Arabidopsis thaliana: one gene and its partner. The protein of the gene in region 1 interacts with the protein of each later gene in a biochemical or structural test. Each region holds a gene or a part of one and is shown in the gene's direction. Other genes may lie near its edges.

Region 1 (10,598 bases):
TGCATACATCTTTATATCTCTACTAGATATGTACTTATGTTAGATTCATACTTGTACTAATTTTAATCCTTTGTTGATTACCCAGCTGAAACGGTCATCTACAGAATATTTTACTACATTAACAGATCCGGAACTGGCTGCCTTACTCTTAGAGAGCTGAGACGTGGAAATTTAATTGCTGCTATGCAACAACTTGATGAAGAGGACGACATTAATAAAATTATTAGGTGAGTTTATTTTTTCTTTTCATAATTTCCTAACAATAAGTATTTGAAATTCAAACATATTCTGTTGTTATATAAGGAGTAAACAAGCTTACGAAAATATATTAAAGTTCGAGGGTTTATCACATATGTAACATTAAACAGTTCAAAATGGAAGAGCTATATGAGTATTGGCTTATACCTTCATATTGCTTCTGTAACAGAACTTATGCCTGATTTTACCATTTGCAATCATGTCGTTTCTTTTAATTTTCAGGTACTTCTCCTATGAGCACTTCTACGTGATATACTGCAAATTTTGGGAACTTGATGGTGACCATGATTGTTTTATTGATAAGGACAATCTCATCAAATATGGTAATAATGCCCTTACCTACAGGATTGTTGATAGAATATTTTCACAGGTTGGTTCCCAAAATTGTTCCTGCCTAGACCTTCTTAAAAGCTAAGTTATATAGTATGATGTGATCCTTTTTATTTGATCTCCATGCGTCTTGTGGCTATGTTTCTCTTTTAGATTCCAAGGAAGTTTACGAGTAAAGTTGAAGGGAAGATGAGTTATGAAGATTTTGTGTACTTCATTCTCGCTGAGGAAGACAAGTCTTCCGAGCCTAGTCTTGAGTATTGGTACACATCTCCCCCTCCGTGTTGATATTGGTTTTCCTTAATGAATGTTGCCCCTTGGTTTAGATCACAAGATCTTGATATATATACTACAACGGAGTCAAAACCAGTGACTTGAGGACTTGTTACTTGTAACAAGTCCTCTTCCTCAGATATATTTAGTAATCATTGTATGGTACCATTTTTTCATGAACATAGGATCCTTGTTTATACTCGGGCACTAACAATCTAACAATCTGATACTAGTTTATAGCCTAGTATGCTCATCTATCTATTATGGATGTCAAAACTCAATATTTTTGCAAGTCCGTGTATTTTACTTGACACTGATTGAAATTTTCCGTGCAGGTTCAAATGCGTAGACTTGGATGGAAATGGGGTAATCACTTCAAACGAAATGCAGTTTTTCTTCGAAGAGCAGCTGCATCGCATGGAATGCATAACCCAGGAAGCTGTTCTTTTCAGTGATATCCTATGTCAAATAATTGACATGATTGGACCCGAGGTTAGTTACTTTACAAACCAGAACATGGTTGTTTGATTTTTCCGAGCTTTTTTGTTATTTATCATTTATTTGACTGGAATCATCTATATGGTGGATGTCCTTGCAGAAGGAGAACTGTATCACCCTCCAGGATCTGAAAGGATCGAAACTTTCAGCAAACGTTTTCAATATACTCTTCAACCTTAATAAGTTCATGGCATTTGAAACACGTGACCCATTTCTCATTCGCCAGGTAAGTTTGGCTTACCAGTGGAGTTTTTATAGCACTCAAGAGGGAAAAAAATAACAAAGAATATGACTTCTTTTAACTGCTAAAGGCAGTTTGTAGTAGTTCGGATTGAGGCAATTAGAACAAGTATAATTCTCTTTCATTGCTGTAGGAACGGGAAGATCCAAATTTGACAGAGTGGGATCGATTTGCTCAGAGAGAGTATGCGAGATTGTCAATGGAGGAAGATGTAGATGAAGTCTCAAATGGGAGTGCAGATGTCTGGGATGAACCACTCGAACCTCCATTTTAGTCCATAGTGGTAAGTTCACACTGCTTGTGTATAGGAAATGCAAATGCTTATAAAATTCTGTGATTTATTGAGTCGAAAGCCGATCTTGACTACAGAAACCAACCAAATAAGGAGACTTATGATTTGAGGTTTTCCCTGGAGAGAGATCCATGATCAGAGATTGGAGGTCACTGTTGGTTGTTACCAGACGCTTTCATCATCATTTCCAAAAGAGTCTCAGCCAAATTCATGAAATTTTTGCAATTTTGTTTTGGTTTCATTATAAAGATTATATCAAGTTGGGCCCTCTCTCCCTCTACATCATCTAGTGTCCATATAACCAGTTGGATTGTCCAACTCAGAATGTACTCATAAATCTGAATTGTTAAACTCTTTTAGTCTTTACTGTCACACGAATATATTTTCAGAAAGAAATCTGAATTGTAAATCTCTTTAGTTGCACTGATATCTTTTTCATAAAAAAAAAAAGAGAAAGAAATCTGAATAGTAAATCTTTTTTCTTAATTAAAAAGAAAAGAAAAAACATCTCCTTATAGTATAGTTGATAGAAGGTGCAAGTCACGCGTTTAATGTGCGCGTGATTAGTTAATTAAACTTGTATATAGAGAGTAAGCGCGTGGTTACATTGCAAAACACTAGAGATAACCCTAGAAAGATCTCTCTCGATCTCTGGTTCGAAGAAAATCCACCATTTCCGATTGTTCTTTCTCTTTGACAAAACCCAGATAGATAAAAATTCGTTCCAATTCCAGTGAGCTCCGGAAATGGCGTCCTTCAAGTTGATGTCTTCTTCCAATTCCGACTTGTCTCGCCGTAATTCTTCTTCTGCTTCATCTTCCCCTTCTATAAGATCATCGCACCATCTCCGACCAAATCCTCACGCCGATCACTCCAGAATCAGTTTCGCTTACGGCGGAGGAGTCAACGATTACACTTTCGCGTCTGATTCAAAGCCCTTCGAGATGGCGATTGATGTTGATCGGAGTATCGGAGATCGGAACAGCGTTAACAACGGAAAGAGTGTTGACGATGTTTGGAAAGAGATTGTATCTGGAGAGCAAAAGACGATCATGATGAAGGAAGAAGAACCAGAAGATATAATGACACTTGAGGATTTCTTAGCGAAAGCAGAAATGGACGAGGGAGCTTCAGATGAAATCGATGTGAAGATTCCAACGGAGAGACTCAACAACGACGGTAGCTATACATTTGATTTTCCGATGCAGCGACACAGTTCGTTCCAGATGGTTGAAGGATCAATGGGTGGAGGAGTAACGAGAGGAAAGAGAGGGAGAGTGATGATGGAGGCAATGGATAAAGCTGCAGCTCAGAGACAGAAGAGGATGATCAAGAACCGTGAATCCGCTGCTAGGTCTCGAGAGAGGAAACAGGCTTATCAGGTTGAGTTAGAGACTTTGGCTGCCAAGTTAGAGGAGGAGAATGAGCAGCTTTTGAAGGAGATTGAAGAGAGCACTAAAGAGAGATACAAGAAGCTCATGGAGGTTCTGATTCCGGTCGATGAGAAACCAAGGCCACCGTCGAGGCCCTTAAGCAGGAGCCATTCCTTGGAATGGTGAAGTGTGGTAAAAAAAACTTTTGTATGTAAAAAAAATAAAAACATATGGGCTTGATTACTATATTATAATCTATATAGTAAAGTGATGGTGATATGGTTAGTACTTAGTTACCTGTAATGTATCTAAGGGATGTAATGGATAATACATAGCTTTTTGCTGATTTATAAGATATCTATGGACCAGACTAGATGGGATAAATTCTTTTTCTCCCTAACAATTTTGTTGGTCGATTCAAATTAGAAAGTGGTTGGTTGTGTTTGATTAGGCAGGAGCAGAGAGTTCTTCGTCTTCTTTATTCTCCTGGCATCGTTTTAGCATCTCAAGTTGGCGTCGTAGATGCAAAACCTGTAACCCACCAAAGGAAAACGATTTAACTTAGCTGACTTTACTACATATTTCTCATCTAATGGATTCTGGAGTTCAGCCTTAAAAAAGAGTCAGCTTCAGAAGGTAATCCTCAGACTATATAACTGAGTTTCATTTCTGTTTCTTATCCTAAGAATTAGAAGATATATAACTCAGACTCCAAGTGAAGAGTTGGCTTAGTTATGTACCTCTTGTTGAAGCAAAGTCGGGTGGCTAACCATGGAAATGAGCTGTTTCATTTCTTGCAAAAGTGACTGGTCTTTGATACCTGACCACGTCTGTGGAGGTAAAGCCAACAGAAGAGCAGTGAACACATCGTTCCCGGATGGGTAAGCTACCACTGTCACTTTCTCCTCACCAAGACCTTGATGTAAAACAAGAAATTCAAAGAAAAAAGTGATTTCTTGATTAGAACTTTGCACACTACTAACTTCAAGCCAAGGTTTCTGAAGCGCTTAGAAAGATAACCAGAATGTAAGAACAAACATACCTTTGATACATTTGACACAAGTTTCCTTACAACAGGATTCATCTGATTCATATCCCGATAAGATTTCATCTCCGTCACAATAAACCTTAGCAGCAACATATGGCAGATTGTCTTCGTACACAGAGGAGAGAAACTTATCCACATGCTTGAACAGTTTAGTTTCTTGCACTTGTTTCAGTAACTCTTGCTACAGCAAAACGAACCATAGAACAGTGATGAATAAACTGATGGAATATAAACATGGAAAACTAAAGTTCAGAAGCAAATGGACAAGATAATACCTTTAATTTGAGCCTTGATTTCTCTTCTGAGCTAAGATTTTGATTTACATCCTCTGTTCTTCGAATCTCAGCCATCCATTTGATAAATTGGTTGAAATTTGCTGGAAGTGACTTGAATACAACATATAAGATTCTTTCAATAGTATCAACATGTTGTGAGCTTACAAGACGAGGAACATCTTCCTTCAAATACTTTGCAATGCTGATCCAGCTCTCATCCTTACAACTCTGAAATCGATAATCAAGATATCATTACTCAGTCCTATTCGAAAGAAATGTTATTGTAATAGCAGCAACTACTAATAGAACCATGACTTTGGACTTACTAATGTATAGAGCAATCCTGGTTCTCTGTGGGGTCTTGATATAAGCATGAACCTGGAAGTAAAGCAGAATAGCAAAAAGAAACGGATTACATTCTTTAATCATACAAGTGAAGCCTAAGAAAAAGAATAGAGATCCATGTACCCTCTACGTCTCCCTGTTGACTGATCAATACTATCCATGGCATCCCAAAGAAGTTTAAGAGGAACCCAGTGAGGAGGATACTTGAAACGAGCGACATCAAGAATCAAAGCCATATCTCTTTCAGCATTATAACCACCAATAGGTGAAAAGTGGCCAGTTCCAGTCTGCAATCATAGACATTAGAATCCGATCAGCATGGGACTTCATAGCAAGACATGAAAGAGTTTCACCATTATCAAACTTTGTAATAACATTAAGTCTAATGAATTTCACTTAATTGCCATATAACTGTTAATATACACAGAGTTTAGGCCAAAAAAATGATACCTGCTTGAGTACTTGCCTATGATATGTTGAGATCATATGACAATTATCAGAAGTTGAACATTTGACCACATATTTGCGGAAATCATCAATGGTGCTCTGATTTGTGCGGAAAGCTTCGACTTTTGCTCCTGAAGAATGAGCTAAACAGACCACTTTTCCAAATGAAATGCCTTTATCCTTCACTATTTCAAGCGGCTCGCAACATTCCAGCATTGATTCATCAAACCACCTCCAAGGCCCTGAGAGAAACCAAAAAAATTCAAAAACCCACCAACAAATGTACTCTCCAGTAGAGGTATGTATACCTTTCCACTTTCTTCCCGGGTCAATAGAAAGAGAATTCAAAACCATCGAAAGACTAGCTAAGCCACAAAAAGCTGGCTCAGACTGTGTCTGAAAATAAGAAATCAGCCCGAAAAATCCTTCCATAGTGCCTTTCTGAAGCGCTTCATTGAAGATTTGCTGCAAAGACAATGACAACATTTAAATTCTCAGGGCAAAAGAACTTGTCCCATTCTACTAAATTGGCTATCAATAATTCGTGAACCATTTATCATGAAGCATGCTCAGATCTCTCACCAACAACTAAACTTGTAAAAACAGCAAGGGGTTTAGGGTTTTACGAGTTTTACACAGTTCCCAAGAAAATCCAATTTCTAGACTCTATACAGATAGAGAAGTAACCAAATCAATCAACATACAAAAACCAAATCAGTGATCATCTCTAACCAGAAGCACAAGGATACTTAAAAAGTTAAAACCCAGAACCCTGAATTTTCAATTGAATCCATGGATCGAACACTTGAGAAATAACGCACCTTTCCTTCAAAAGAAGCGAAATCTATCGCCGGAGGGGAAAGAGACCGCCGATACAAACTCGCCATAGACATTGTCAGAGTTTGACTATGGAGCAAACTTGCGCCGAAAGAATCAGGGACGGGTTCGAAAACAATGTAAAAGAAGAGCTCTCTCTCTCTCTCTCTCTCTCTCTCTCTCTATGAACTACCTAAAAAATGGAGCAATGCTTCACATATGAAGAAGAGTAACGTTCGCAGAGAAGTCTTTCATTTACTTCAAAATGCGGATTCAATAAAACGTCGAAGAGGGACTGAGTTGTGTGAGAGAGACAGAAGAGAAGATTGGTAAAGTCAAATCTTAAACCGCGGAGACTGATGGTTATTTAGCCGGTTTGGATCGGTTTGGAAAATAATTATTGATTTGAAAACTAATTGACCTTGACTAAGACTCACCTACTGTTTTTTCTTTATTGCAACTGGGGAAATTGTTTATTTTATTTTATTCTGAAGCCATGAAGGCACGTTGGTTTTAAACTAATCAAATAAAATAGGTAACAAATCCTCACAAGAACCAGCACTGTAGCTAGCTTAATTGAATTTCCCTAGTAACCTATGTTATTTATTTTGATGCAAATTTTTATCGTCTTAAGTTAGATATCCTGCATCAGACGTTGATGAAGAATCACTTATAGATTCTACTTGAGATCCACGTACTCGTCGTGACGATCTTCTAGATCCACCATCTACACAGTCCTTTGATTTTTTTCTACGAGATTTCTTATTAAAACCACCATCTTGAGGAATAGCAGAAGATTCTTTTGATGATCTCCGTGAAACTTTAGGGTTTCCATTATATTGTGAAGATCCACGTCGTCGTGATCGTTCTTTTGTTGGTGAACCACCTAAAGTGCTCGAACGCTCTCTCGACGATTTTGGAAGTCTCGGTATATCACGTGACCGAGTCGAATCTGCATGTGCATTTTTTATTTATAATTATTTCTTCTTTTACAAAAAAAAATATCTATAGTACTATTCCATATTAGATAGCTCACCTTCAAAAATGCATGAAGCATCCTCCTTGATATTTCCGATAAGCGCCGGTGAATATCCACCCAATACTTTGAAATCTTTCATCTACATTGAATTTCATTATTTTGACTTTATGATAATGATTTATTAGTTAATGTTATACTATAGACCAAAAAATTATTGAAAATTAAATTAAATACCCAGCTGGGTGGATTATGATTGACAGAGCCTCCATCCCAACCAATGTGAGCAACATGTTTTACATCTGTTGGAGTTCCAATTTGCATCTCTGCCTCTTTCTCGTTTTCTGCGTTATGCAAATTGATCATAAAATGTAATATTAAAACGAGAAATTTACAAAATTATTAGGCTACATTCAGAGAAGATAGTATATAGTATATATATATAAAACTCACCAAATATTTGAGAAAAATACCTAAGACCCTTCACGAGGCTCTTCATTTTGTAGGTTGACATAATGAAATAGCCAAACAAATCAATATAGTTTCTAAGAGAAAAAAAAATAATCTATTCTGTGTTTACTAATTTTGTTTTTCTCCTGGAAGCTATAAGAATGAAATGAATTCAGAACTGAAAAGAAATCACGTAAGTTTCATTTCGGCTCGATCGATTAAGAGCCATTGTCAGTGATTTCTTTGAAAGCATTTTGATTTAACATTCTACGACCTAAAATTTTCTTTCTCCAGGAAAAAGAAAAAAGGTTGAATCAAAATACTCAGTTATGAACAAAAAGAAATAGGAAAAGGAGATTGTGCATGGAGAGCTAATATATCAAGTTTTCTGTTTCCAGTTCCAGATATGGAACTAATTAACAATGTGATGGAGGGAAAACAAAAAACTAATTAAGTGAACGACAATTAGTTTAAAGTAGATTTTTTTAAAAAAATCGATGAGGCTAATTTTATTGTTTGTTCTCTATTGCAATCTTAATGTGGTAAAACTGTAAAGAAAATCAGCAGTTGTTAGTAAAAACAAATCAATTATTGGCCACTAATTTTTTTGTCAAAGGGTTTTCATGTTTATTGACTTTTTAGGAGGATAAGATGGAAACAACATATTGGGCCAGACCCATACAGAATGATAAGATAAAACAAAACAAAGAAGGCCAAAACCCATAAAGGGGAAACATGCCCAAACAGAGGGAGAAGCCCAAGATTCGCCAGCAAGAGAGCCCAAGAGGCCCAAGAACCATGAACCGTAGGCAATAACCATTAGAGCATCTCCATCGGGAGATAGATACTCTTGCTGGCATCTCAAAAAAAAAAAAAACCTGTGACGCTAGTAAAACTGTGTTACACACATAAGTAGTATATTCACAAACGTACTATAACTATTAATAAAATTTTGAGGATGATGTATATAGCTGGAAAAAACGATTGAAATATGTAATTGAAGACTATGTATATTATCTGATTTCACAGAAATGTTGTTATTTCTACATGGCTGCTACACATACCAGAAAAAAAACAATTATTGACACCTGAAAAAGAAAAGGCTGTCATAATTATATTATATACAGCTAAAAACAAATGATTTATATATATAGAGAGAGAGACTTTATATGTTGGTGGTGGAATATCTGAGAGCTTTATTTTATCGGTGATGTCGAAAATATACACATGTAACATATTGTAATACAACAGTACGATGCTGCGTTTGTCACGTGTACTCCTGATGTATCCCACACCTGACTCAAGACACATATACGTATTCGTATACATCACACGTGATACGTAATCTGTGGTCTCTTTTTCCAGACGCAAACAAACAAACATAATCATCTCAAAACTCAAAAAAGAAACAATCTCTTTCAAGTTTGTTTTAGTCCTTCTTTCTGATTACCCAACACTTAAGGAACCGCCTTACACTTTCCCACAACAAGTTTTGCAGAGAAAATCGAAAAGAAAAATGCTCAAACCCTAGAAGCTCTTCGCATGTCTATATATATGTTTGTGTAAAAAAGAACTAAGCGTAAAGAGGAATTAAGAAAGAGAGAAAGGACCTAAAAGCTGAGAGAGATGGTAGGAGGAAGAAGATTAGGGAAGAGAGGAAGCCCTTTGTTGAGATGGAGTGTGAAACAAGAAAGCTTCAGCCATGGATTCTCAAAATCTGACCTCCAAGCTCTCTCTTCCATTTGCGACGCTATTATGCCTCCTGTTCCATTAGAGAGCTTAAATCTTGAGATGAAGTTGAAGGTTTTGCGCAACGATGCACTCTTATCTTTCTTCAAGTCTTCTTCTTCTGAGTCTCATGTTCGACCAGATGAGGTTGTTTATCTCCAACTTTCTCTATCATCTCAGTAAAAGACACTATTATGAATATAATTAATAATAGCATAATCTTTAATGAACCCTAAGGTATATAGAGTGATGAAAATTTAGATTTTACTCTACGTTATCTTCAGTGCACAATTTATTAGTGCTTACGTGCAATTGGAATGATAATAAATTGATTAAAAAATCAGGTGGCAGAGCTACTGGCGACCAAGGCAATACCATTGACAGTTTTAGTGGTGAGAATAGTTTTGAGAATACTCACATTCAGACTGGGGACGTTACTGCTTTGCGGGTTAGTCTGTCTTGACAAGAAGCATTGGCCTTTTCTTCTCAAGTTCTCTGAAATGTCCCTGGAGAAGAGGGAAAAGGTTCTTCAGAGATGGAACACACAGTGGTATAACCCACTAGCGAGAATCGGCTTTATGATGATCAAAGCCATCTTCTTGTTCTACTACTTCACATGGGTAAGTCTTCCATCTTCCTCTGCATAACAGGTCATTCGCTTTCGTTAGAAACTATAAAAAAAAGGTGCAACATGAGACTTTATAAGTTATGCTGGAATTGATTGGCTCAGTAATGATGTGTTCTTCTTCTATTCCCACAAAACGGCTAGGTCACTAGGACTAGTGCGATGTCTTCAACCAGATGGTTGTGTTTCTAATCCCTATCATGGTTCGAACAACTTTTTTCAACCAGCAAGAACTTTTCCATGTTTTATTACCTGTGAATATATGTATAACTAATTCAAATGCATGGACAGACAAATGAAAATTCAGAAAACCCAGTATGGGATGCAATTAATTATAGCGTGGAAATTGGTGAAAATGAGGACATGGAACAAAAGGAAAGACCTCTAGATGAAGGGATCATCGAGACTGCAAAAGAAGATGAGATGACCATCAAGCAACGTATGATCAACAAAGGCCTCAAAGTCACAGAAGACAGAGAAAGGGACACTTACAAGATCGAGTGTGATGCAGTGGTAGTGGGTTCTGGCTGTGGCGGAGGGGTTGCAGCTGCAATTCTAGCAAAGTCGGGCCTTAGGGTGGTAGTTATCGAGAAGGGGAACTACTTTGCCCCCAGAGACTACTC
Region 2 (10,598 bases), on another chromosome or scaffold:
GTTTCTTTGTCATTTTCGTTCCTCAAAAAAACCTTTTCGAATTTGACCCTTATTGTTATCCTGATTCTTCTGCTCGGTTCTCGCCGGAGAGAAGACACGGAGAAGAGGGTTTTCGAAAAGGAGGATGAGAGGTTCCAATAACACCGATCTATTTGACCCTAAGACGGAGATGGATTCCAATTTCTCTCGCCATGGTTCTTCCTCCGAAGGTGATTTTGGTTTCGCTTTCAATGACAGTAACTTCTCCGATCGTTTGCTCCGGATCGAGATCTTGGGTGGGCCTTCGGATTCTAGGTCTGATGCTGAAGGATGTACGAGTATTGCCGATTGGGCTCGTCATCGCAAGAGGAGAAGAGAGGACAACAAGAAGGACAATGGTGGTACGTTTGATTCCCTATCGGTTGGAATCTCAGATTTTGTTGTTGTTTTTATGAATTGTTCTTATGGTTGGTTTAGGGCTTTTGGGTTTAAATGTTTAAGAAACTTATACGTTTTGCATTTCCAGTTGCGATTTCAGACATTGTGGCATGTGCTGAAGAACAGATTTTAACCGATAACAACCAACCTGATATGGATGATGCTCCTGGTGGTGATAATCTTGACGATGAAGGAGAGGCAATGGTTGAAGAGGCTTTATCAGGTACCGTTCTAAATTTCACATTGTCTCTCGAGTGACTGGGTTTGAATTTGTGATACTTAACAATTTTCAGAAGAGCGTTTTTTGTTGAAGTCATTTGTCTGAAACGTGATGGCTTTGTTTATTAATGGTTTTTGTAGGTGATGATGATGCATCTAGTGAGCCAAACTGGGGTATTGATTGTTCTACTGTTGTTAGAGTTAAAGAACTGCATATTAGTTCTCCTATCTTGGCCGCAAAAAGCCCCTTTTTCTACAAGGTATTAACCTTTTTTCTTCTTCTATGTTCTTATTGTTTGCTCTTGTTCATCTCGCATGTAATGCTATCTTTTGCTTCTTGTTTTCCTTACCCTGTTGTAGCTGTTTTCTAATGGAATGAGGGAATCAGAACAAAGACATGTAACCCTTAGAATTAGTGCACAAGGTACGACAATTTAAGTCAAGCTTTTAATTCATTTCTGCTATTCTCCAATCTCTTTATATTGGCTTCAATTCTCTACTAGCTCTCTGTTGGCTTCTTCTTGTTTTGGATTCTTTATGCCTCTTGTATTAACTCAGTTGCTGACTTTGATTTACATATGATATACGATATTAGCTTTAAGGGAGTCCACATTGTTGATTTCTCATGCTCTACTTTTATGTGTATTGTAGAGGAAGGTGCTTTGATGGAGCTTTTAAACTTTATGTATAGCAACTCTCTAAGTGTCACAACAGCACCCGCTTTATTAGATGTTCTTATGGCTGCTGACAAGTTTGAGGTTGCTTCCTGTATGAGGTATTGTAGTAGACTACTGCGAAATATGCCCATGACCCCTGATTCTGCTTTGCTCTATCTTGAGCTGCCCTCTAGTGTTTTAATGGCTGAAGCAGTGCAACCTCTAACCGATGCAGCAAAGCAGTTCCTTGCCTCGCGCTACAAGGATATTACCAAGTAAGACTCTCCAGTGGTTTGAAATGCATTTACTCTAGTGTTGTATAATTCTTGTTCATGTGTTACCATCTTGTACAGGTTTCATGATGAGGTTATGGCCTTACCATTGGCTGGAATAGAGGCGATACTATCGAGCGATGATCTCCAAATTGCTTCTGAGGATGCTGTTTATGATTTTGTCTTGAAATGGGCAAGGGGACAGTATAGTTCATTGGAAGATCGTAGAGAGATTCTGGGTTCACGCCTTGCACTCTACATCCGCTTCCCATACATGACGTGTCGAAAGCTGAAAAAGGTACTAACGTGCAGTGATTTTGAGCATGAAGTAGCATCAAAGCAAGTATTAGAAGCGCTCTTCTTCAAAGCAGAAGCCCCACACAGGCAACGCATCCTCGCAGCTGAAGGATCGGACTCCATGAACCGCCGTTTCATAGAGAGGGCTTACAAATACAGACCCGTAAAAGTGGTGGAGTTTGAGCTTCCTCGCCCGCAATGTGTAGTGTACCTGGACTTGAAGCGAGAGGAATGCGCAGGACTATTCCCTTCAGGAAGAGTCTATTCTCAGGCTTTCCACTTAGGAGGTCAAGGTTTCTTCCTCTCAGCACACTGCAACATGGACCAGCAAAGCTCGTTCCACTGCTTTGGGCTATTCCTCGGAATGCAAGAGAAAGGGGCTGTGAGTTTTGGTGTGGACTACGAATTTGCGGCAAGAGATAAAAGTACAAAGGAAGAATACGTAAGCAAATACAAAGGAAACTACACATTCACAGGGGGGAAAGCGGTTGGTTACAGAAACCTTTTCGGGATTCCATGGACTTCGTTCATAGCCGAGGACAGTCAACATTTCATCAATGGCATTCTCCATCTCAGAGCCGAGCTCACCATTAAACGTTCCTCAGACCTGCACTGACTGTTTTCTTCTCTCTCTCTCTCTATGTCGTCACATTTAAGTTGTATAATCTCGTTATGTAGCAGCTCTAACCACGAGTGTCCTTTGTACAATAATTGCCTAAGGAGCAAAAGTATGGCTTAAAGAGTACCTCATTCTGTAAATTCTTTGATTGGATTTTTTTACTTTTCTATATGGGTCTTTATAAATAGTCCAAGATAGAATTTGGGCCTAGCTTTTGAGGTTAGTCTTAAAATATGGGCTCAAGGCCTACTACGATGCGTAATGATGAAGCTAAATTGCCTATAGTGTGAACATTAGGCTTTTATATTCAAAGTTCAAACAATGCGGCTATAGCAATGGTACATCGAGGAAATAGAATGAAGTGACAAGGATAATTTAGGAAATGAGGATAGAGGAATTGAGTCCTCGTCACATGGGGCCCACATAAATGCGTAAGTAAGACTATCCGCTTACCAGACGGACACGTCATTTTGTCGGGACACGTTTGAGCCGTTGGATGATTAATCTCCTTTTCTGACTTATCGACCCCACTTTTTTTTTCCACTACAAAATATTGATGGCCACGTCAGATGATTCGAAGTTATATAAAACACACGTTTTTATTGCAGCTTAACCGTCGATTTTTTTCTAATCGAGAAACCGAGATCAACGGTCTATATTCAAAGCTGATGTGGTCTGTACCTTTGCTTACGTCACCGAAAACCTAAGTTGAATAATACTAGTACTAGTATTATGCTCTCTGATTTCTTTCTACAGTACACAAAATAAAAATAAACAAAAATAGAGAGCCCAGACAATATTTACTACATCACCCAATGGATAACCGACACGTAGATACATCCATGTGAGTCGCATTTTGTAATGTAGGGACCACTTCGTGGATAGAAGCTCTTTTACGCCAACGCAAAAAAAAAAAGCCTCGTTGGCCCTTTAGCCTCTAAATGCCAATAACTATCTACTGGCGTGGCTTAGTTTATACCGTTGGATCATTTGTTTATCCCAGCCGTTGGATTCGAAGCAGTTGTCGGGCTTGTGGGCCTTTTCTTTATTGTTTTGTTTTCATAATAATGAAAGAAAATAAACTAAAAAAGTATTTTTTATTTTTCCTTTTATGGTGATTCCATGATGGCAAAAACGTGGCCATACACGTGGGTCGTCTCGTGGCACCTTTGGAAGATACGAATCGGTAGTGAATAATGGACGGTTCGGATCTTTAGTTTTGTCGACAGAAGTGCTCTCCGCGTCGGAGATACTACTAGTCAAAGGTCTTTTCTTCCTTCGTATTTTACCATAATGTCCCTTCTTTCTAATCAAATTTTTATCATGTATCCAAATTATTCGAAGCAATATTCTATATAATAAACAAATATGCCCATCGGTAAGTAGCAAAAGTTAAATTGTGTTTATTTTCATGCCATACAAAAATAATGATTCTGAAAATTCGTTGGAAAGATTGTTTAGTTTTCTTATTTTTATGTTGCACATGACTTCACTGACGTGTGAATGTGATGACGGATTTTGAAGAGGATTATACACTATGGTAAATATCGACTATAAAAATAATCTAAACATGAGGGAAGCGTAGAGCGACTAGAAATCGAACACGTGTACGGTAGAGATGACATAAGAAATGGCTGGCACTAAACTCGATGAGCCAACTCATCAAACACCACCGTAGTTTACGCTGTTATATATTCTCATGACACGTGTCTGATGACGTGGTCATCGTCTTGGCGCTCCGTTTTTTTTCTCTCTCTCTCGCGTCTCCCTTCCCTCAAAAAAAAAAACTGAACTCTTTTTCGCTCTGGTTTTTTTAGAGAGAGAGAAAGATGAAAATGCGTTTAATTGCTGTTTAGGTTTCGAATTCGCGATTTAAATTTCTGGGTTTCTCTCTGTTTAAGCTTCTTCTTCTTCATCTTCTGCTTACGTTTCTTCTTCAAGGAGCTTTCGGATTCTTGTAGGTATTGCGTAACTTAAATGGTTCAAATAGAGATTGTTTGGTCGAATAGTTTTGTGATTTGGTTTCTCTATCATTCATTGATCTTCTAAGTTTTGTGAAAATTTTGCCATTTTTGATCGTTTGCTTTTGCATTTACTTGAATTGAATGAAAAATTATAAGTTTTGAATTTGAACAAAAACAGCTAAAGCGTAGAGAAGAACAGAGTTTCTTTTTTTGGGTGCATGTGATTGTTTCAGGGGTAGAATTGTCCAGTAGTGTCTACTTTGTTGATTCCTTTTGTCTTCCTGAAAGTTTTCTGAACATAGGATGTGAGAGAGAAATACTATTTTACCCTTCTCTGTCTCTATATTTCTCACACAACAACACCCATCCCCATGATTTTGCAGAAAGAGTCATTGTTCTCTTGAGTGGGAAACCTTGAAACCATTCCTATGGGAAATAGCAGCGAGGAACCAAAGCCTCCTACCAAATCAGATAAACCATCTTCACCCCCGGTGGTATGTTGAACAGTTTCAAACCATAATTCCAAAGTCAATTTAGTTTTTCTTAAATTCCTTATGCGTTGACTTGACTCTTGTTGATAGGATCAAACAAATGTTCATGTCTACCCTGATTGGGCAGCTATGCAGGTTAGTCTTTTTTTTATTACGCTCCAGTTATGTACTAGTAATACCATGATTAATAATGATTTTCATGATGTGTTGCTGCTAGGCATATTATGGTCCAAGAGTAGCAATGCCTCCTTATTACAATTCAGCTATGGCTGCATCTGGTCATCCTCCTCCTCCTTACATGTGGAATCCTCAGGTACTAAACACAAACACGAATCATCTTGTGCTAATATGGTAAAGATTAGGAAGACGTTTCATTGGTGTTTTGTTGGTCTTAAATCCCTTTCAGCATATGATGTCACCATATGGAGCACCCTATGCTGCTGTTTATCCTCATGGAGGAGGAGTTTACGCTCATCCCGGTATTCCCATGGTATATAGTAATTCTGTTCCTCAAACATCTCGTAGTTGAATCCTCCGTGATCGTTTATCTGACTTGGCTTTGAGTTTCTGTGGACAGGGATCACTGCCTCAAGGTCAAAAGGATCCACCTTTAACAACTGTAAGTTGTATACCTAGTTTGATACATCAAAGATTGAGAAATGGTTTTGTTCGCTGTTTAATGGATAGTTCTTCTTTATCGCAGCCGGGGACGCTTTTGAGCATCGACACTCCTACTAAATCTACAGGGAACACAGACAATGGATTGATGAAGAAGCTGAAAGAGTTTGATGGGCTTGCTATGTCTCTAGGAAATGGGAATCCTGAAAATGGTGCAGATGAACATAAACGATCACGGAACAGCTCAGAAACTGATGGTTCTACTGATGGAAGTGATGGGAATACAACTGGGGTAATGTTTCTCTTCTCTTACTCTCAGCTATCTTTAGTTTTCATATGATTGTCTAAAGTCTAGAACCTCACTTATTGCATGTTTCCAGGCAGATGAACCGAAACTTAAAAGAAGTCGAGAGGGAACTCCAACAAAAGGTATATAGCCTTATTCATGTCCCAAAGAGTTAGAATCAGTGTAAATATTAGATATAATGGGAGTTTTAATTCGGTTTTTTTGGCAGATGGGAAACAATTGGTTCAAGCTAGCTCATTTCATTCTGTTTCTCCGTCAAGTGGTGATACCGGCGTAAAACTCATTCAAGGATCTGGAGCTATACTCTCTCCTGGTGTAAGTGCAAATTCCAACCCCTTCATGTCACAATCTTTAGCCATGGTTCCTCCTGAAACTTGGCTTCAGGTACCCTGTGACTTATTCTCAACTTCCACTTGTTGGATTTTCGAGCTAATCTGATCCGTTTCCCTGACCAAGTATTAAATTTTGTCTTCAGAACGAGAGAGAACTGAAACGGGAGCGAAGGAAACAGTCTAATAGAGAATCTGCTAGAAGGTCAAGATTAAGGAAACAGGTTTGGTTACTGAAAGAATACACTGAAGCTCTTTAGAAATTCTTTCTCTTAGTGTGTAACTCTCACCAAAACATTTAATAAACTAACAAACTGTCTTTCCTTGTTTTGAAGGCCGAGACAGAAGAACTTGCTAGGAAAGTGGAAGCCTTGACAGCCGAAAACATGGCATTAAGATCTGAACTAAACCAACTTAATGAGAAATCTGATAAACTAAGAGGAGCAAATGCAACCTTGTTGGTAAGTAAGCTATCATTAACCAACAAATTATCTTTATGAAGGCGTGTCATTTTCTTGAACATGGCCGGTTCTTTTTGGGTTGCAGGACAAACTGAAATGCTCGGAACCCGAAAAGAGAGTCCCCGCAAATATGTTGTCTAGAGTTAAGAACTCAGGAGCTGGAGATAAGAACAAGAACCAAGGAGACAATGATTCTAACTCTACAAGCAAATTGCATCAACTGCTCGATACGAAGCCTCGAGCTAAAGCAGTAGCTGCAGGCTGATCGATGGTAATTCATGTCGATTTCTACTTAATTTGTCGACATAAACAAAGAAAATAAGTGCTACTAATTTCAGAAAAACTTGATAGATAGTATAGTAGAGAGAGAGAGAGAGAGAGAGGTGTGATGATTATTGATCTATAAATTTTCGGAGAGAGAGAGGGAGAAAGAGAAACTTTTCCTCCAGATGAAAATTTGGTGTTATGGTTTGTTACTGTTAATATAGAGAGGCTTTTCTTTTTTTATAAAATGGCTTCCTTTGTTGCATTTCCTTGTTTTAGACCTGATGTAATTTTATGAAATCGGTGTTATTGCTTTGCGTAAGCTTTTGTTTCTTTTGTCAAGGTTTCATGCATAAAGGATCTTTCTTTTCAGGTTTCATACATCTCTCTCCGAAAATTTATAGATCCAATAATCATCACGAATATCACAAACATTATGAGTCTGTCTTTGGGTGATTTTCTTCGCTACTCTTGAGGACTGTCAATCACACAAGGCATTCTTTTCTACAACCGAGTTTATTTTATAAAAGCTGAATATTAATGCTCGCTCACACATAGAGCAGGTTAATTAACTTGTACTGAGAACTCTGGAAATGAAAACTAAAGATTCTGTCAAAATTCAAAAGCTTTATCATCAAGGTATTTGTATTGGTAGTAAATAAAAACATGAAAATGTTAAAAGAGAGAGAAAACAAAATCCGGAATGGGAGACTTTTTCAAAGATTCTAAAAGGTTGACGTTCAAGTAGTCGGAATCTAAATCTTGATGTTGAAGTAGTCGGAGTCAAAATGATGCAGCCTCACGTAACCGTCTTCACCTCCACTAGAGAAACTGAAATATACATTCCACAAACTCAGTGAGAGAGCCAAAACACACACTCAAAACCTCATCATGTGAGGATTGTGTCAATCAATCAAAATCCAAATGTTGTTAATTTACCTCTTCCCATCAGGATTGAATGCCAAAGCATTTATAGGTCCAAAATGACCTTTCACACCACCAATTTCCTCTTGCAGAATCTATATATTATACCAAACACAATGATACACGGTTATTTAAATATGTGTATTTTCCAGGTTACATGTTTCCAAGTAAAACACTCTTATTATAAACACTAACCTTGTCGTAAAACTTAGCTTCAAACTTTCCAGCACGATGATCAGTGGTAGTCACAGCTGATGCATCTTGACCACCTCCAAGTACAACCTAAAAGAGAGAGCAGAAACATTCACAAAGATAACATCATGCCTTGCTGATTCTGGGATTCGAAATTGAATTTCATGAAGCATTAGTGCATACATGGTTGAGAAGTGGAGACAGGGAGACAGCATTTACGGGCACCACAGTGGTGTAAGTCTTAAGAAGAGTCAGCGTTCTCATGTCCCAAAGCTGAAACAATCAACAAAAGAGAACACTCTATTAGATGATTTATATCTATATGTATAGTGCAAAAATTTGAAACAAGATATACTGTACAAGTAAAAGAAAGAAGCACATGCCTTTGCAGTTTTGTCAAGTGAACCTGTAAGGAAGTGAGAGTCATCAGCTGCTTTGCAGAGCGATGTAATGTCCTTCTTGTGACCCACTTCCTCATCTGATTGCTTGAGCAATTTTCCCGTCTAGTAACAATGGCAGTAGCACCACATAAGGTTTAGTTCATAACCTTAAAAGAGAGAAATTAATACACAAGTAAGGCCTTAAGAAAAATTGAAATACCTCGGCATCCCAGATTCTGATAACTTTATCTTCACCACCACTAACAATAGTTTGGTTCAGGGGACCCCAAACAGCTCTATTGATCCTCTTCTTTCCATCAGGACAATGAAGGACAAGCACAGACTCAGCATCCTCTACACAATTGCATCAAACAAACAATTTCCTTTTAACACATACAAGAAGTTGGCTAAAACGTAAGTAGTAATTCAGCTAGGAATGTACAACTTACGTTCCTCAGGATCTTCCGCAATACGCTTCACATGAATAGCAGCGGTACGGTCCACGAAGTGATCAGTGGTAATCACTGCAAGACGATCTCCAACAGCGAAATCCACAGACCTCGTAGGGGCATTAAACTTGAAAGTGAACAATTCTTTTCCAGATTTTACATCCCACAGCTTTGCAGTCTGATCAGCACTACCAGTGATCAATCTTGACGAGTCTCCTAAGAAATCACTAAACATTCAGCTTTGAAAGACTAAGACGACAGAATTCACTCGATACTATAAACCCTAAACAAGCTTGTAGCTAAGGGGAAACAATGAATCTAATCATCGACTCGATACTATTTGAAGAGAAATTGAGAAACTTACGGGAGACATCACAGCACCAAACAGCACCGTTGTGACCACGGTAAGTTCCAAGGCGCTCGCCGTTATCGGCAAACCAGAGGGTGGGTGTGTGGTCCTTGGCGCAGGAGAAAAGCAGATCTCCTTCTCTGTTGTACCTCAGAAACGTCAATGGACGTTCATGTCCCTTCATCAGGATCGGCCTCATCTTCAGTTTCTTAGGGTTTGATGCGAATCTTTGAAACAGATACGAAATCGAATCAATCAAAAGACAAGAAAAATAATTGAAGAAACGATTACGGAAAACGGCTTTCTTCTTCACCTGTTCACTTGAAGACGAGAGAGACGACGAGGAAGAAGTGCAAAAACCCTAGGAAATCAACTTTGTCCTCTCTTTTGACACTTTTACCCTTTTGTAATTTTTTAAATTACTCGAGATGCCACAGTTTAGCAAAGCTCAGTGGCTTCAGCGTTTTTAGCTTCTTCCCTATTTGATGAGTTCGAACCTCGCCCGTTGCGCCTATTTTGTTTTTTTCCTTTCTCAAAAGCAGTTTCATACGTTTTTTTTTTGTGGGTGCATATGTCTATTTGAAAAGACAAACAACAAGCTTTATCATCAAAGTAGTATATTGGTAATTTGGTAGTACATCAATTCTGAAAATGTTAAAAAGAGAGAAAATATTATGTGGAATGATGAAAAAATGGAAAGACATGTTCAAAGAATCTAAATCTTGATGTTGAAGTAATTGGAGTCAAAATGATGCAGTCTCACGTAGCCGTCTTCACCTCCACTAGAGAAACTGAAAATACATTCCAAAAAACACTCAGCAACAAAGCCTAAAAAACACTCTCATCAACTGAGGATTGTATCAATCAATCAAAATCAAATTTTGTTAGTTTACCTCTTCCCATCAGGACTGAATGCCAAAGCATTAATAGGTCCAAAATGACCTTTCACGCCACCAATTTCCTCTTGCAGAATCTATATATTATAAGACCAAATACACAGTTACATATCTCTTTCCAGGTTACAAGTTTTTAAATAAAACTGTTTTACTGCAACACTAACCGTGTCGTAAAACTTAGCTTCAAACTTCCCAGCACGATGATCAGTGGTAGTCACAGCTGATGCATCTTGACCACCTCCAAGCACAACCTAAAAGAGCGAGAGCAGAAACATTCACAAAGATAACATCAAGACTTGTTGCTTTTGGGAACCGAATTTGAATTTCAAGAAGCATTAGTGCATACATGGTTGAGAAGTGGAGACATGGCGACAGCATTTACAGGCACCACAGTGGTGTAAGTCTTAATAAGAGTCAGCGTTCTCATGTCCCAAAGCTGAAAGAATCAACAAAAAGAACACTCTATTAGATGATTTATCTCTATATGTAATATG

The links. The genes of interacting proteins can lie anywhere in the genome.
Region 2: the proteins of GBF4 (region 1) and GBF3 form a complex in vitro, tested with the Arabidopsis thaliana proteins (one study listed by BioGRID).

What each region holds. Positions count from the first base shown.
Region 1 is NC_003070.9:1,015,599-1,026,196, forward strand, and holds GBF4 (G-box binding factor 4), read left to right. Parts: upstream 1-2,501; 5' UTR 2,502-2,638; coding exon 2,639-3,451; 3' UTR 3,452-3,649; downstream 3,650-10,598. Other genes in the region: AT1G03960 (Calcium-binding EF hand family protein), read left to right, coding at 86-227, 481-628, 742-851, 1,197-1,353, 1,460-1,585, 1,734-1,874; PCS2 (phytochelatin synthase 2), read right to left, coding at 3,713-3,796, 4,006-4,181, 4,308-4,494, 4,589-4,816, 4,915-4,966, 5,057-5,220, 5,384-5,845, 6,202-6,273; AT1G03982 (PAK-box/P21-Rho-binding family protein), read right to left, coding at 6,826-7,148, 7,233-7,314, 7,410-7,538; AT1G03990 (Long-chain fatty alcohol dehydrogenase family protein), read left to right, coding at 9,249-9,497, 9,695-9,970, 10,267-10,598. UniProt on the Arabidopsis thaliana protein: Binds to the G-box motif (5'-CCACGTGG-3') of the rbcS-1A gene promoter. G-box and G-box-like motifs are cis-acting elements defined in promoters of certain plant genes which are regulated by such diverse stimuli as light-induction or hormone control.
Region 2 is NC_003071.7:18,995,987-19,006,584, forward strand, and holds GBF3 (G-box binding factor 3), read left to right. Parts: upstream 1-4,193; 5' UTR 4,194-4,441; intron 4,442-4,827; 5' UTR 4,828-4,872; coding exon 4,873-4,938; intron 4,939-5,025; coding exon 5,026-5,070; intron 5,071-5,152; coding exon 5,153-5,248; intron 5,249-5,341; coding exon 5,342-5,425; intron 5,426-5,512; coding exon 5,513-5,554; intron 5,555-5,638; coding exon 5,639-5,845; intron 5,846-5,933; coding exon 5,934-5,982; intron 5,983-6,068; coding exon 6,069-6,244; intron 6,245-6,335; coding exon 6,336-6,413; intron 6,414-6,524; coding exon 6,525-6,650; intron 6,651-6,735; coding exon 6,736-6,915; 3' UTR 6,916-7,417; downstream 7,418-10,598. Other genes in the region: LRB1 (BTB/POZ/Kelch-associated protein), read left to right, coding at 125-380, 506-640, 778-896, 997-1,060, 1,288-1,567, 1,646-2,477; TRIP-1 (TGF-beta receptor interacting protein 1), read right to left, coding at 7,670-7,745, 7,854-7,933, 8,034-8,120, 8,214-8,303, 8,414-8,533, 8,631-8,764, 8,860-9,075, 9,224-9,407; AT2G46290 (Transducin/WD40 repeat-like superfamily protein), read right to left, coding at 9,924-9,999, 10,102-10,181, 10,269-10,355, 10,451-10,540. UniProt on the Arabidopsis thaliana protein: Binds to the G-box motif (5'-CCACGTGG-3') of the rbcS-1A gene promoter. G-box and G-box-like motifs are cis-acting elements defined in promoters of certain plant genes which are regulated by such diverse stimuli as light-induction or hormone control.